2 linked regions of the Sus scrofa genome follow. The protein of the gene in region 2 interacts with the protein of the main gene of each other region in a biochemical or structural test. Links are inferred from orthologs where the notes say so. Each region holds a gene or a part of one and is shown on either strand. Other genes may lie near its edges. The genes, in order: CNTN1 and PTPRB.

The links.
Region 1: the proteins of PTPRB (region 2) and CNTN1 form a complex in vitro, tested with the Homo sapiens proteins (2 studies listed by BioGRID). The link is inferred for Sus scrofa from reciprocal best matches to the Homo sapiens genes PTPRB and CNTN1.

Annotation. Positions count from the first base shown.
Region 1 is NC_010447.5:72,366,220-72,372,906, forward strand, and holds part of CNTN1 (contactin-1), read left to right. Parts: intron 1-1,912; coding exon 1,913-2,119; intron 2,120-5,238; coding exon 5,239-5,338; intron 5,339-5,491; coding exon 5,492-5,673; intron 5,674-6,687. UniProt on the Homo sapiens protein: Contactins mediate cell surface interactions during nervous system development.
Region 2 is NC_010447.5:34,741,120-34,747,806, reverse strand, and holds part of PTPRB (receptor-type tyrosine-protein phosphatase beta), read left to right. Parts: intron 1-1,443; coding exon 1,444-1,719; intron 1,720-2,592; coding exon 2,593-2,850; intron 2,851-4,723; coding exon 4,724-4,987; intron 4,988-6,687. UniProt on the Homo sapiens protein: Plays an important role in blood vessel remodeling and angiogenesis. Not necessary for the initial formation of blood vessels, but is essential for their maintenance and remodeling. Can induce dephosphorylation of TEK/TIE2, CDH5/VE-cadherin and KDR/VEGFR-2.

The sequences.
Region 1 (6,687 bases), about 38 Mb from region 2:
AATGTTGTAAAATTGGGTTGTGATGATGGTTATACAACTATAAATATAAAAAAATTCACTGAGTTTAAAAAATTTTTGAAAATTACCTATCCAGGAAATACTTCAGTTCCTTGTATGTATTTCAAAGAGAAGTATACATTATTTAGCAAGGTTGTATACGTGATGGATTTCAGAGTAATACAGTGAAACTAGCCAAATGTCCTCTGGTTGCCAAAAGAAATCCTCTCTTTCATATTGTCCAGACTTTCTTGCAGCAAAGGGGAGAAATCTCAGACATCTATCAATAAAAAGCAACATTTTTGAAGCAGGTGCCAGCACCGAAATCTTCCTAAAAAATAAGTTTTTAATAATCTATTATAAGCAAGACAACAGTGCTATGAGGAAAACAAGTGTTGGCTTCTTCAGAAATGGTTAATTTTACCATCCACATGAGGCAGGGGAAGACAGATTAAAAAAATAATCCATTGAGTTCCTGTGAGAATTGGGTCAGAGTTTAGCTCTTGATTGCCAGAATTAGGTCTCATTCTTAAGTCTGAGCAGAGCAGAGCAGCTGCAACACCAATAATGGGGCAATTTTGGTAGTTCTGGTGTGGAGAAGGAGGTCAGGAGATCAGTTCTGCCTCCCTGTTGCTGTATGATCTTGGGCAAGTCAACCCAGCTAAACCTCTGTGCACCTGTTTAAAAATGGCAATGACAATTCCTACTTTTGTTTTCATGACAAACAATAGCTTCTAATATATGGCAATTATGATTTTGCTGAAATGGATGACTTATCAGTGTGCAAAATTCATTAAATAAATATATTTTAAATCTTACAATACCACAGCAGCAAAGACCAAATCTGTCTTGTTTAGTGGCACATAGAAGGTACTTAGTGTATGTTAAATAAGTAAACTGGATAATCTATATTGGGCCTCAAAAGAACAGACCAATTGCTATGTAGTCTAAGACTTCATACCACAATAACTTCTCTGACCTAGTTTATCCCATTCCTCTTTTCTTATGAGGGGTACATAGAAAATTTTCTTAAAATTTAGAGAAATTATGAAATAGAGTGATTAAAATAACCTGACCAAAGTCTAGAATTAAAATGCAGATAATTTAATTAAGCAATTTAATTAAATATATATAATTCTATATTCACATAACTATGGAGTACACTGACCATTCTGAAGGCAACTTCATGATTTCATGGTGACTTGAAATCATTGTGTGGTTGAGAAAATCCTTTTTCCATAGGAAATCTATACTTCACTCTTTTTGACTTTTTTAACTTTTTTACTTGTGGCCATAAATCATTACAAAAATATCCACTTTCTTTTTATATGAGAACAGGGAAAATTACTTCAAAAGGTTTACAGTCTATTAAAGTAAATATACTGTAAATATTCTTTTGGATCAACAAGTACATGCATTTGGGTGTGGGCCTAAAAAGACAAAAAGTAAAAAGTGAAAAAAAGTAAAATAGGAGTACAAAAAGTAAAAGGATATAAAGTGATAGTACGGTTAGTAATCTTGATTTCATTTATAGATTGCAGTAGGGAAAATGGATTATGAATTTTAGAATTATCAGACCTGGATTCAGAATCCCAATTCCACTTAACAGTCATGAAATTCTAAATTATTTACTTAACATCTCTGAGTTTTATTTATCCCATCAATGAAACAAAAATTAAAAGTATGATAAACCCATAAAATAATTGAGAGAAGTAGATAAAATTGTTTAGCACTATGCTTACAATCAATCAAACTATAGTAGTAGCTTTTAGAAAATTGGCACTATTTATCTTGGCTTACATCCAACATTTGCTCTTCAAAAGCCTAGATTAGATTATGTTTAGCCTATTACTAGAAAATAAAATCTTTACTTTTGAGAAGAGCTTAATATTTAGTACACAATATTTTCTTCTAGATGATCTTAGCTACCGCTGGCTTCTAAATGAATTTCCTGTATTTATCACAATGGATAAACGAAGATTTGTGTCTCAGACAAATGGTAATCTCTACATTGCGAATGTTGAGGCATCAGACAAAGGCAATTATTCCTGCTTTGTATCCAGTCCTTCTATTACCAAGAGTGTGTTCAGCAAATTTATCCCACTCATTCCACTACCTGAACGTAAGTATTTTATTTGTTACACTCTGTATTTTGCAAGTTTGTCTGCTTATAGCATACTAATAATAGTGAAAAGAAATATCTAGTGGGGCATTCCCTGGTAGCTCAGCGGGTTAAGGATCCGGCATTGTCACTGCTGTGGCTCTGGTTACAGCTGTGACGAGGGTTGGATCCCTGGCCTGGGAACGTCCATATGCCTTGGGTTCCTTGGGGAGACTCTGGCAAGGCATATAGAGAATACAAACTTTGAAAATCTTGGTCTTTCCTTAGCTTTCCTCATAGTGAAAACTGATATCATAAAATTTCCCTGAGACAGCTGACTTTGGACTGGTTGCCTGTAGTTCAGGGAATGCATAGGGAACTGAATCATTAGCCAAATACTAGTTTGTTGATTTCACCAGCATCTTTTTGTTTCATGACTAATTTCACCTACTAGTAAATTCATGGAAGATAACAAGTGATTAAATAAAACCAAACTATATTGATTAGAGAATTAGGGTGAAAAAGGCAGTTGGATTATTTGGGTATTTTAAAGGAACTATTTATGTGAAGCAATAGTTCCTTTAAAGCCCATTCTTGACTGGGCTTTTCCAAGATTCCAATTAAACTACCTTCCATTTTTTTAATGCACCACTTCCTGAGAAAATCAGATCACAGTATATTTTCTTACTTCACATTAGTTTATCGCAATCTTGCTGCTACTGAGTTCACGCTTCCAAGGAAATACTGGTTCTGTTTTTGGCAGATTTAGGTTTGGTTCCTGTCTCTACCCCTAAGCTTCATATGATAATGGAGTAAATTCCAATATATCACAAAAATTCTATTTTCATTAGTCTTTTCAAGATGGCCACCACATGGTTAGTATTCAATAAATATCTTCCGATTTTCTGGCTCTCTCATCCCTCCCAAGTCTTAAGAGAGATTCTTACCACTACTTCAGAGAGTGAAAGGAAACCATCATGTAGAAACTTCCCTAATTTTCTTCCCTATGGTCCCCCCAAAATTTAGTACTTCGATTTACCTCTTACTTTCTGTCTCATTTGGGAGAAGTGTTTTTCCTGCCAGTCAGGCTAATCCCTCCAGTTGCTCTGGCTCCATCCTTTTTGATTCCTTTCGGCATGTGATATATCACTTTTTCCTTTCTTTTCTGAATCTTAAAATCTTCCTACATGCCTTTCATGTATTCTTTTGTAGTCAATGAAAACAATCTTGAATAATCAAAATGACTTCTTATTTGCTGAATACAAAGGATATTTTCAGGCTTGATCCTGTGCAAACTTTGACACTGTTGATCTCATCTGTTTCTTTTGAACTCTATCTTTTTTCCTAATTTTTCTGACTCCTTCTGCCTCTTTTCATTGCCTCCTTGCCTGGTCAACAAATTCTATGCAGTATCCTCTATCAGATCTTTCTCCTAATATTCATTTCTAATCTTTTTCTAAGTATTCTTATTCATTTACAACTTTTTCAATAATAACCCTATGTGGATAATTCTAAATTCACATCTCCAAAATTTTTTCCTGGGCTAGGTCTTTATCTATATCCTGGGCTTGCCACACAGAAGGTTCTCAAGGATTTCAGTTTGAAACATGACAAACACACCTGTTAGTGCCTCTCTAAACATCCTCTTCTGGTGTTCTTGATCTCATTTAGCAACATTGTCATATACTTCATTTATCAGTAAGTCAGGGCAGGATTTTTCATCATCAGCTCCTCTCTACTGTCATCCTCAGGACAGCGATTCCAAGGGTCCTCATTTAGTAGATAAGCACTTGAGAAGTTTGAGGAAAATGTGGAACCCAGAGATAGTGACTCAGCACACCTAGGATGTGACCCAGGGATCTATAACTTCAGTGAGCATCCCAGGTGATTCTGCTGGGTTTTTACCTTGAGTAAGCATTGATACAAGGGGCATTCCTGTTGATTCTGCTTCTAAAAGGCAGCTTGGATCTCTTCCTCCTTTCTGCTCTCACTGTGACCATGCCCTAGATCATACCTTCACCTATTTTTCTGAATTTACAAAGCACCCTCCCTTAGATCTCTTTTGTATTTTTCCATCCTTTAAAATGCCAACAAGAAACCAAAGGTAAGATTCATGCTATTTCTCTTCTTAAAGCCTATTGGTAGTTACCCACTGAGGAAATTAGTCTCAAAATATTTAATATCATGGTTTCAAGCCTCCTAGATTGTAAGTGCAAGCTCATCTTCCCCACTACATAAATATCAATATCGTTTTAATTCTTAGGTCTTTTATAATTCCCACACACTTCTGATACTGTATTATAATATGCTATTTCTTTAACCTGAACTGATCTGTTTCATATGCCCTCTTTGCCTGAAATTCCCTTGGTCCCTACATACTTACAACAAATATCCTTGGCTACCACCCTTACTGGGCATTTATTTTTATTTTGACTTACATCTCAACTACTTGTGTATCTGTTGGTCTCTCTAATGTTATACAGTGTAAAGTACACACATATGTTGTGGTCTTAAACAGTGTACTTAGCCTTCCTGGGTGAATTTCTTCCATTATAAGGTTGAGGGAATAATACATATTTCAGTACAGATAGGCTAAATAAGTGTTGTCATTGATGAGCACAGACATGCTTAAATAAAGATTTTTCTTTTCTTCTCTCCTCTCTTTTCAAATTGTTTCTTTGCTTTCATCTCTAGGACAATACTTTCTTCCTTACTTCTCTTTCCTTGCCTCTCCTCTTTCTTTTCCTCTCTCTTCTCTTATCTCTCATTTCTTTTCTTCTCTTTTTTCTTGATTCCCATATAGTACCTGGAACAATGTTTAACACATATTTGATGCTCCCTAAAGAACTGAATTGTCCAGTGATGTTTAACACATTTGTTCTTTAACTGAGTTGTCCAGTGAGTTGGATCACATTGGTCACACAGTTGTCAGAATGAGTCAATATGATTGAAAGTGCTTAATAAAATTTATATTGTATGAATACCATGCACAAACAAATCAATACACTGTGATGTGATTAGATAATTTCCAGACGTCTATTTTGAAGCAATTCTAATTCTGTACAAATCACAATGTTGCAAAACACTACTCTGCTTACTGCTGATATTTTTGTTTTATTTTGTTTTCCTTTTGTAATTAGGAACAACAAAACCATATCCTGCTGATATTGTAGTTCAATTCAAGGACATATATGCATTGATGGGCCAAAATGTTACTTTAGAGTGTTTTGCACTTGGCAAGTAAGTAGACTCACAGTTTTCCTTAATGTATATAGAACTGCATTAAATTTTATATTGTTTTAGGAAAGAAATGTTGTAAATGTTTAGTTATATATATAGATCAATTGCCTTTTAAGTGCTGTGCTAGTAGCTCTTGTTACCTCCTATTTAAAGTCCTGTTCCTGATATCCGGTGGCGGAAGGTCCTGGAACCAATGCCAAGCACGGCTGAGATCAGCACCTCTGGAGCTGTCCTCAAGATCTTCAATATTCAGCTAGAAGATGAGGGCACATATGAATGCGAGGCTGAGAACATTAGAGGAAAGGATAAACACCAGGCAAGAATTTATGTTCAAGGTAGATATATTGTTTTAATCCTCCATGCATTTAATATATATATTTTTTCGCCACCCCATGTCATATGGAGTTCCTGGACCGGGAATCAGAATCAGATCTGAGTCGCAGTTGCTTGATCCTCAACCTACTGTGCTGGACTGAGGATCGAACCCACACCCGTGCTCCCAAGATACCACCAATCCCATCACACCACAGCAGGAACTCCTAATCTTTTTAAAAGCACCCATTTTCATACTTTAAAAAACCTAGTATAAAATGATGAATAGTTTAAAATTGTCTACTAAATCACAATATGAGTCTAGAAGTTATGAATTCATGCCACTGGTATCATAGGAACACCAATGAATCAATAGTAGTGTTCTGGATAATTTTCAGAAAATATAATTGATATAGCTTACTGCCTTTCTTCACGTTCTCTTTTTTTATTTGTAGAAGAACCTGTTCATTATGACTTAGCTTAAGCCAGTGATTCACAAACTTTAGCATGTTTTACACTCACGTGAAGGGCTTATTGAAAACACAAATTGCTGGTTCCCATCCTCAGAGTTTCTGAATTAGAAGGTCTGTGGGGGGGCTCACGTATTTGTATTTCTAACAAATTCCTGGGAGATGCTGATGTTACTGATTCAGGAGTCACACTTATTTTTCCAAAATTTTTCTTGGATGCAATATTTTTTGGCACATATGTTTGACTCTCATATGTTAAGCTTATATTTGGAGGAGAGAATGTTGTTTTTCCGTCAGTGCTTGAAATTTTTCGTGCTGAAATCATCCTTATCTTTTTCAACAATGTGAAATTCACGGGTCACATTTGAATAAATATCTAAGGCTTCAACAAGATTATTCATTGACAGGGCACATATACACTGAATGTATATTCAGAGGCAGACATTAGGCTAGGAGCAGGAAGAGTCAGATAATGGAAATATTCTGTCCTTGAGAAATTCATACTATAGCCATCCCACATACAAAACCCTCAAATTTATACAAGTGTACAGAGTCAAATACATGTTA
Region 2 (6,687 bases):
GAGAGAGCTCTGTTTAATCTTCATAATAGTTCTACTAAAAGAATAGTATTGTCACCAGCATTGCATAGAGGAGACAGCAGAGGCACAGGGAGGCAGGAGACCTGGATTCAAACCCAGGCCGTCAGACTAGAGTCTGTTCTCTTCAGGTAAACCTGTGCTGTGCTAGGGTATAAACCACACAACCTTGTTCTTCAGGCTCACCTGCACTTTGGGCTCTCAAGCCACCTTGGTTTGGCTGGATTTAGCTTATGTTTGGCCTCTCTATAGGTGACCCATAGTACTGAGCTCTCTGGCTATAAAAGCTTCTTGAATATAAAGATTACCTTGTTTCTATTTGTATTAAAGTTAGTCACAAGTGAACACTTTCTTAAAACATACGCTGTTCTACAAAGATGCTAGAATCCCTCAGGTTATTTCATGAGTAAAATATAATTTACCAAGAGGTAGCTAAGAACTGAGTGCTCTACAGCCATGCCACTAAAGCCTCTAACCTGATTCTTGAAAATTAGTCTCCCAGATTTTGATTGTATTCTCTAGACCAAGAACCATGTAGGATTTCTGAAAATTATTAATATGTAAAATCTGTCAATGTTTCTTATTCTCAACATTCAGCATAGGGAGAGCCTTATTTCTCGAATGGTCCCACTGCATCATCTGCTCACTAAACATTATTGTCTTAGTTCCTAACCTGGAGACATGCTGTCCCTTGTATTTCAAGTTCTACAGTGAGAATTCAGTATACGGGATAGAGGTCTCCTCAAACTGACCCGTGGCATAAAGAGTTGAAACTAAATGAATAGCCAGTTATAGGACTAACCCGTTTCCACCTGCTCTGGGAGCTTCAGCAGCTCCAAAATGACCCAGAACTCAAGTTTAGAAAGTCTAGGGATATAGGGAATACCAGTTATTGAAAGAATTCATTTGAATGAGCACGCCTAGCCTAGGCTCATAATCAAGTCTGTATCTTTTGTGGTTTTCTGATCTCCAGCTGCTCCCCCAAAGTTGTGTATGCTTAACCCCCCAAACCCACAACCTAAAAAAAAAGAGAAAATTTGGTACAAATTTTAAAATTATTTCTTAAAATCTATATTTTTGATTGAGATGTTCGGTATTTATCCAGGCAGAGCCTAGATGTTTGTCAATGTTTGAAAAGTGCAAAACTTGCAAGCCAAAGTAAATAGAAGCTTGCTTGGGTTTCCAAACTCAGAGCTGTCTTCAAAAAATTTTTTTTATCAGAAAAAGGAGTTATATGACTGGTAGCTAGGTGGGTTTCTATTCCAAGTGAAATGGTAAGTTTGGAAGTGGTGTAAGATACCTGTTTATTTCATTGGCAGCAGATTCTTAAAGTCTTGAAGGAAAATGAATCTGGATTTCAGCAAGGTAAAAATGTATCAGCAAAAGTCTTCAAGGTACCTTCTCTTTTTTTGGGTTTTTGCCCTACAGATCCTTTACCTCCTGCCAGGTTTGAAGTCAGTAAAGAGAAAACTACTTCCACCAGCTTGCATGTTTGGTGGACTCCTTCTTCGGGCAAAGTCACCTGGTATGAGGTGCAGCTACTGGATGATAACCAAAAGACACAGGGGGCCCAAATTCAAGAAAGAACTGCACGGAATGAATATACATTTTTAAACCTCACTGCTGGTAATAAATACAATATTGCCATCACAGCTATTTCTGGAGATAAACGTTCCTTTACAATTTATACCAATGGATCAACAGGTAAGACTTCTTTACAGATAGTTTGGTATTTAACAATCTGTGCTTCTTTGGAAATTATATTAAATTCAAGAAATGGGAGTAAGAATGCCCTGAGTTCAAAAATAAATAGATTGGTAGATAGATAGATGATAGATAGACAAACAAATGCTGCTCGATCACAAGGAAAAGACTGGACTGGAAACAAGGAGGTGTGGTTGGGCTTCTAGCTTGCTGGGTGACTTTGAGCAAGTTATGGAATTTCTCTGGGACTGGAATTTTCACCAGGATGAAGAAGCTATTTCCCAGTGGCCCTTCTAATGCATATCTAAAGCAGCAGAAATTTCTGCCTCATTTTCTCAGTTTTTTCCATAAAACTTATTTTTAAAATATTTTCCCTCCGCTATATATTCTTCTCATAACATCAAGTCATGGTGTTTCCCAAATATTCAGCTGTTTGGAACAAGCCTTTGCTTGTACCCACACATCCGATATCAATTACCATTTCCTTCCATAATGGACTTTCTTACCATTCAGTCTTCCCTGGTTTTCTCGCCTTCTTTGTTGCTCTCTTTCTGTTTCATTTTCTCTAGTTCTTTCCTTTTTCTTTTCTCTTTACTGCTATGCTCCATCAAACTTCATTGGCAAAATCGACCTTAATACCTGCTAAGTGAAGGAGACAAACAGGTAAACTATGATGTAGCTTTAAGCTGTGGGTTTTGAAAAGGGCATTAATCCAGGTTCCAGTAAAATTTCAGGAGTGGTGTTTTCATTAGTTATCACACAAGTTAGGTGTACAGAGAAGCATAAATGAATTGTGATTTCAAATTAAATGGGTCTCTATCTTCTACAAGGAAATTATGAATGACACCTTGGAAATGCATTTTATCCCACTAGTGCCATCCCCAGTGAAAGATGTTGGTATTTCAGCGGAAACTAATTCCCTCCTGATTTCCTGGTCACGTGGCCCTGGGAACCTAGAACGATACCACCTGATGCTAATGGACAAAGGGATTCTAGTTCATAGTAATACTGTGGACAAATCTACTACTTCCTATGCTTTTCATGGACTGACACCTGGTCACCTCTATAATGTCACCATTGTTACCGAGGCTGCAGGGCTGCAAAACTACAGATGGAAACCAGCCAGGACAAGTAAGTTTCCCTAGCTAGCTAATAAGAATAAACCTCAAATCAAGGAAATGTTTAAATAACAATGTTTATTAAAGGTTTGAATAAAGGTAATATAGGACAAATTGAAATCCATGTGTTACAGAAGACCTATCTACTTTTCTGCTTAGAGAAAGATAGATTCCCTTTTTTCCCCCCGTGTTATTCCTTACTTTTAATTTATTTTATTTTTTAGGTTTTTATTTTTTCTATTATAGTTGATTTACATTGTTCTGTCAATTTCTGCTGTATAGCAGTGACCCAGTCATACATGCATATATGTGTATACACACATATATATACACATTATATATATATGCACATTATATACACAAACACACATATATGTATGTACATTCTTTTATGTATATGTGTGTGTGTGTGTGTGTATATATATATATATATATATATGTATACATTCTTTTTTAGAGATTCCCTTTTATTCACATTTAGTCTAGCCCTTGACAACATTCTGGAATAGCAAAGTTAATCAGTGATACAGTGTCAGCTTCTCTTTTTAGTTAAGGACTCCTACTTCCTTCTCTAAAACAGGCATCCTCTGCCTTTGTGAACTCACTGGCAATGAAGTAGTGCTTCGTATAGCTTCCCAGTGCTATACAAAGGCCTACTGCCGTGAAACAGCCATTTCCCAAACCATCTAGCCAATAAAACACCTCCTGAGACCCAATGCTATAGGAGCTGTTCTCATAGCCTAACATAGCCAGAAAACTAATTTGTGCTAAGTTTTAATAAATAATTTATATTCGCATTCATTCATGCATTCATTCATTTAAGCAGTATTTATTATGTGTAAACTATATGCTAGGCATTGTGGATATAGCAATGTCCAAGAGAGACGTAGTCTTTGTTCTCATGGAACTTAGGTTCAAGTGGATTCTAAGGCTTCTGGTAGGAGTAATGTGTTAATAAGTCCTCTCCTTTAGCAAGCTATGTGATTTTAAGAGAAACTCTAAAATATGTAGTGCCTGAGAAATTACTATTGTGGAGAAAGTTCCTTAAACTATAGGAAGTTTGGTGAAGAGATCTTTGGGGACACCTATTCATTTATATATCTTTCGTATCACATCTCAAAGATATATTGATATTCCCAACAAAAATACCATTTAGCTGAAGAATTATTATGTAGCTCTACAGCAAGTTACACTTCTGACTTGGCCTATGCAAATCAGCATGTTGTACTCATTACTTTAATGAAACATTATTAATTTATATTACACCATTAGTGAGACCCAAAATTATAGCATAGGCAAGAAAAGAGGTAGAAAAAATATCCACCAAAGTATCTCTCCTTTGTAACCATTTTCCTCTGATGAAATAACGACATAACTCTTAAGCTTTATCATGACTTAATATGAAAATAAAGTATTTTAGCACACAGAATTTGGTGATAGCCAATCAACCAACCAATCTATTTATTATGTACTTGCTATTATTATGTACATAAAAATGAGAAGAAATTAGGCAGAGACAGACTTCTCTGAGGATTCCACTTAAAGAATTTTAGAACTGGAAAAGGCCATTTTAAGTTTTTTGACCAAGTCATCATTAGGCAATAAGGACCCCTAGGTTTAGTGAGATAGACTGAGCTGCCCAGAATTGCCCAACCAACCAATGGCCAAGTTTGAGCCAGAATCTGGGCTCCTGACTGCCATTTTTGTTCTCTCTCCACTAGCCAGACAACCTTTTTTTGGTTTTGCAGTATTATATTTACCTCATGAAGTCATTTTCTTCAGAGCAGAAAATGTGGCTTGTAGAGATTAAAATACAGGTCAGAATTTTCCCATAAGAGTGGTATGGTGTCCTGGGTTAAAGTCTCTTTCTTTTCCTTCCTGATTAGCCCCTATGGAAGTCTCAAATCTGAAGGTGACAAATGATGGCACTATGACCTCTCTAAAAGCCAAGTGGCAAAGACCTTCTGGAAATGTGGATTTCTACAACCTTACCCTGTCTCACCAAGGGACTGTCAAAGAATCTAGAATATTAGCACCCCACATTACTGAAACTCAGTTTAAAAACTTAACCCCTGGACGACTTTATCAAGTTACCATCAGCTGTGTCTCTGGTGAATTGTCTGCTCACAAGACAGCAGTGGGCAGAACAGGTGAGTCAAGGCTCCAGAAATTCCGTAGTTGCTCAAATCACTCTCTGATTCATCTTAGAACAGGACAAAATACTTTAGAAGGAAAATTCCTTTCCCAAAATGGGAAGTATGATGGCCATTACCATGGCTAAGAATGTCTATGAGCCAGGGTCCCCCCTCTGTAAAGCGCAGGGTTAATTGCTTTCATCTGAGTTATTTAAGCAAATCTATTTGAATTGATTCCTGAATGATCTGGATAACTGGCTCTGCCCTGTGCTATTTCATGTCACACCACTTAAGCAGCCAACATGAATTAGCATTGATACTAATAAATAAAGAATTTCTGATCAGCTATTATTATTGTTATTTTTTTTTTATCTTTCCTTGAGCCACTCCCACGGCATATAGAGGTTCCCAGGCTAGGGGTCCAATAGGAGCTGTAACCACTGGCCTATACCACAGCCACAGCAACGTGGGATCTGAGCCACGTCTATGACCTACACCACAGCTCACGGCAACGCCGGATCCTTAACCCACTGAGCAAGGGCAGGGATAGAACCCGCAACCTCATGGTTCCTAGTCGGGTTTGTTAACCACTGCGCCACGATGGGAACTCCCTATTTTTAAAATTTTTTATTATAGCTGATTTACTGTGTTCCATCAATTTCTGCTGCACAGCAAAGTGACCCAGTTATATGTATATATACATTCTTTTTCTAACATTATTCTCCATTATGTTCCATCACAAGTGATTGGATTTAGTTCCCTGTGCTATACAGCAGGATTTCACCACTTATCCACCCAAAATGCAATAGTTTGCATCTACTAACCCCAAACTCCCAGTCCATCCCACTCCCGCCTCCCCGCTCCCCTTCCCCCTTAGCAACTCCAAGTCTGTTCTCCATGTCCTTGAATTTGTTTCTTTTCTGTAGGTAGATTCATTTATGCCATATATTAGATTCCAGATATGTGATATCATATGGTATTTGTCTTTCTCTTCTGACTTACTTCACTTAGTATGAGAGTCTGTAGTTCTATCCATGTTGCTGCAAATGGCAGTATTTTGTTCTTTTTTTTTTTATTACTGAGTAGTATTCCATTGTGTATATGTACCACGTCTTCTTAATCCATTCACGTGTCATTGGACATTTAGGTTGTTTCCAAGTCTTGTCTGTTGTGAATAGTGCTGCAATGAACATAGGGGTGCATGTGTCTTTTTGAATGAAAGTTTTGTCCAGATATATGCCCAGTAGTGGGATTGCTGGATCATATGGTGGTTCTATATTCAGTTTTCTGAGGTACCCCCAAACAGTTTTCCATGATCAACTCTTTTAATGAAGGGCCAGTTAGTCCTTAATCATGATTTCCATAAACCATTTTATTAATTTACATCACCAAACATATATCCAGTGCCTTCCATGTGTAAAGTACTGTGTAATTTGCATGTGTAAAGCTTTGAAAGTTGTTAAAATAGCAGAGTTCGGGAGCTACACCCTTCAGCCAAATATGGCCTGTGAACTGTTTTTATATAGCACCAAGCTAAGAGTGGGTTTTACATTTTTAAAGAAATTAAAAAAAAAAAAGAACACAAAATAAAAGTACAAGACAGAGACCCTATATGATCCCCAAAGCCTGAAATATTTACTTTGCCAACCATTTTGCTTCTAAGGAAGTTAAATTTTAATCACACAAATGTAAAAGACAAACACAAAATAAAAATA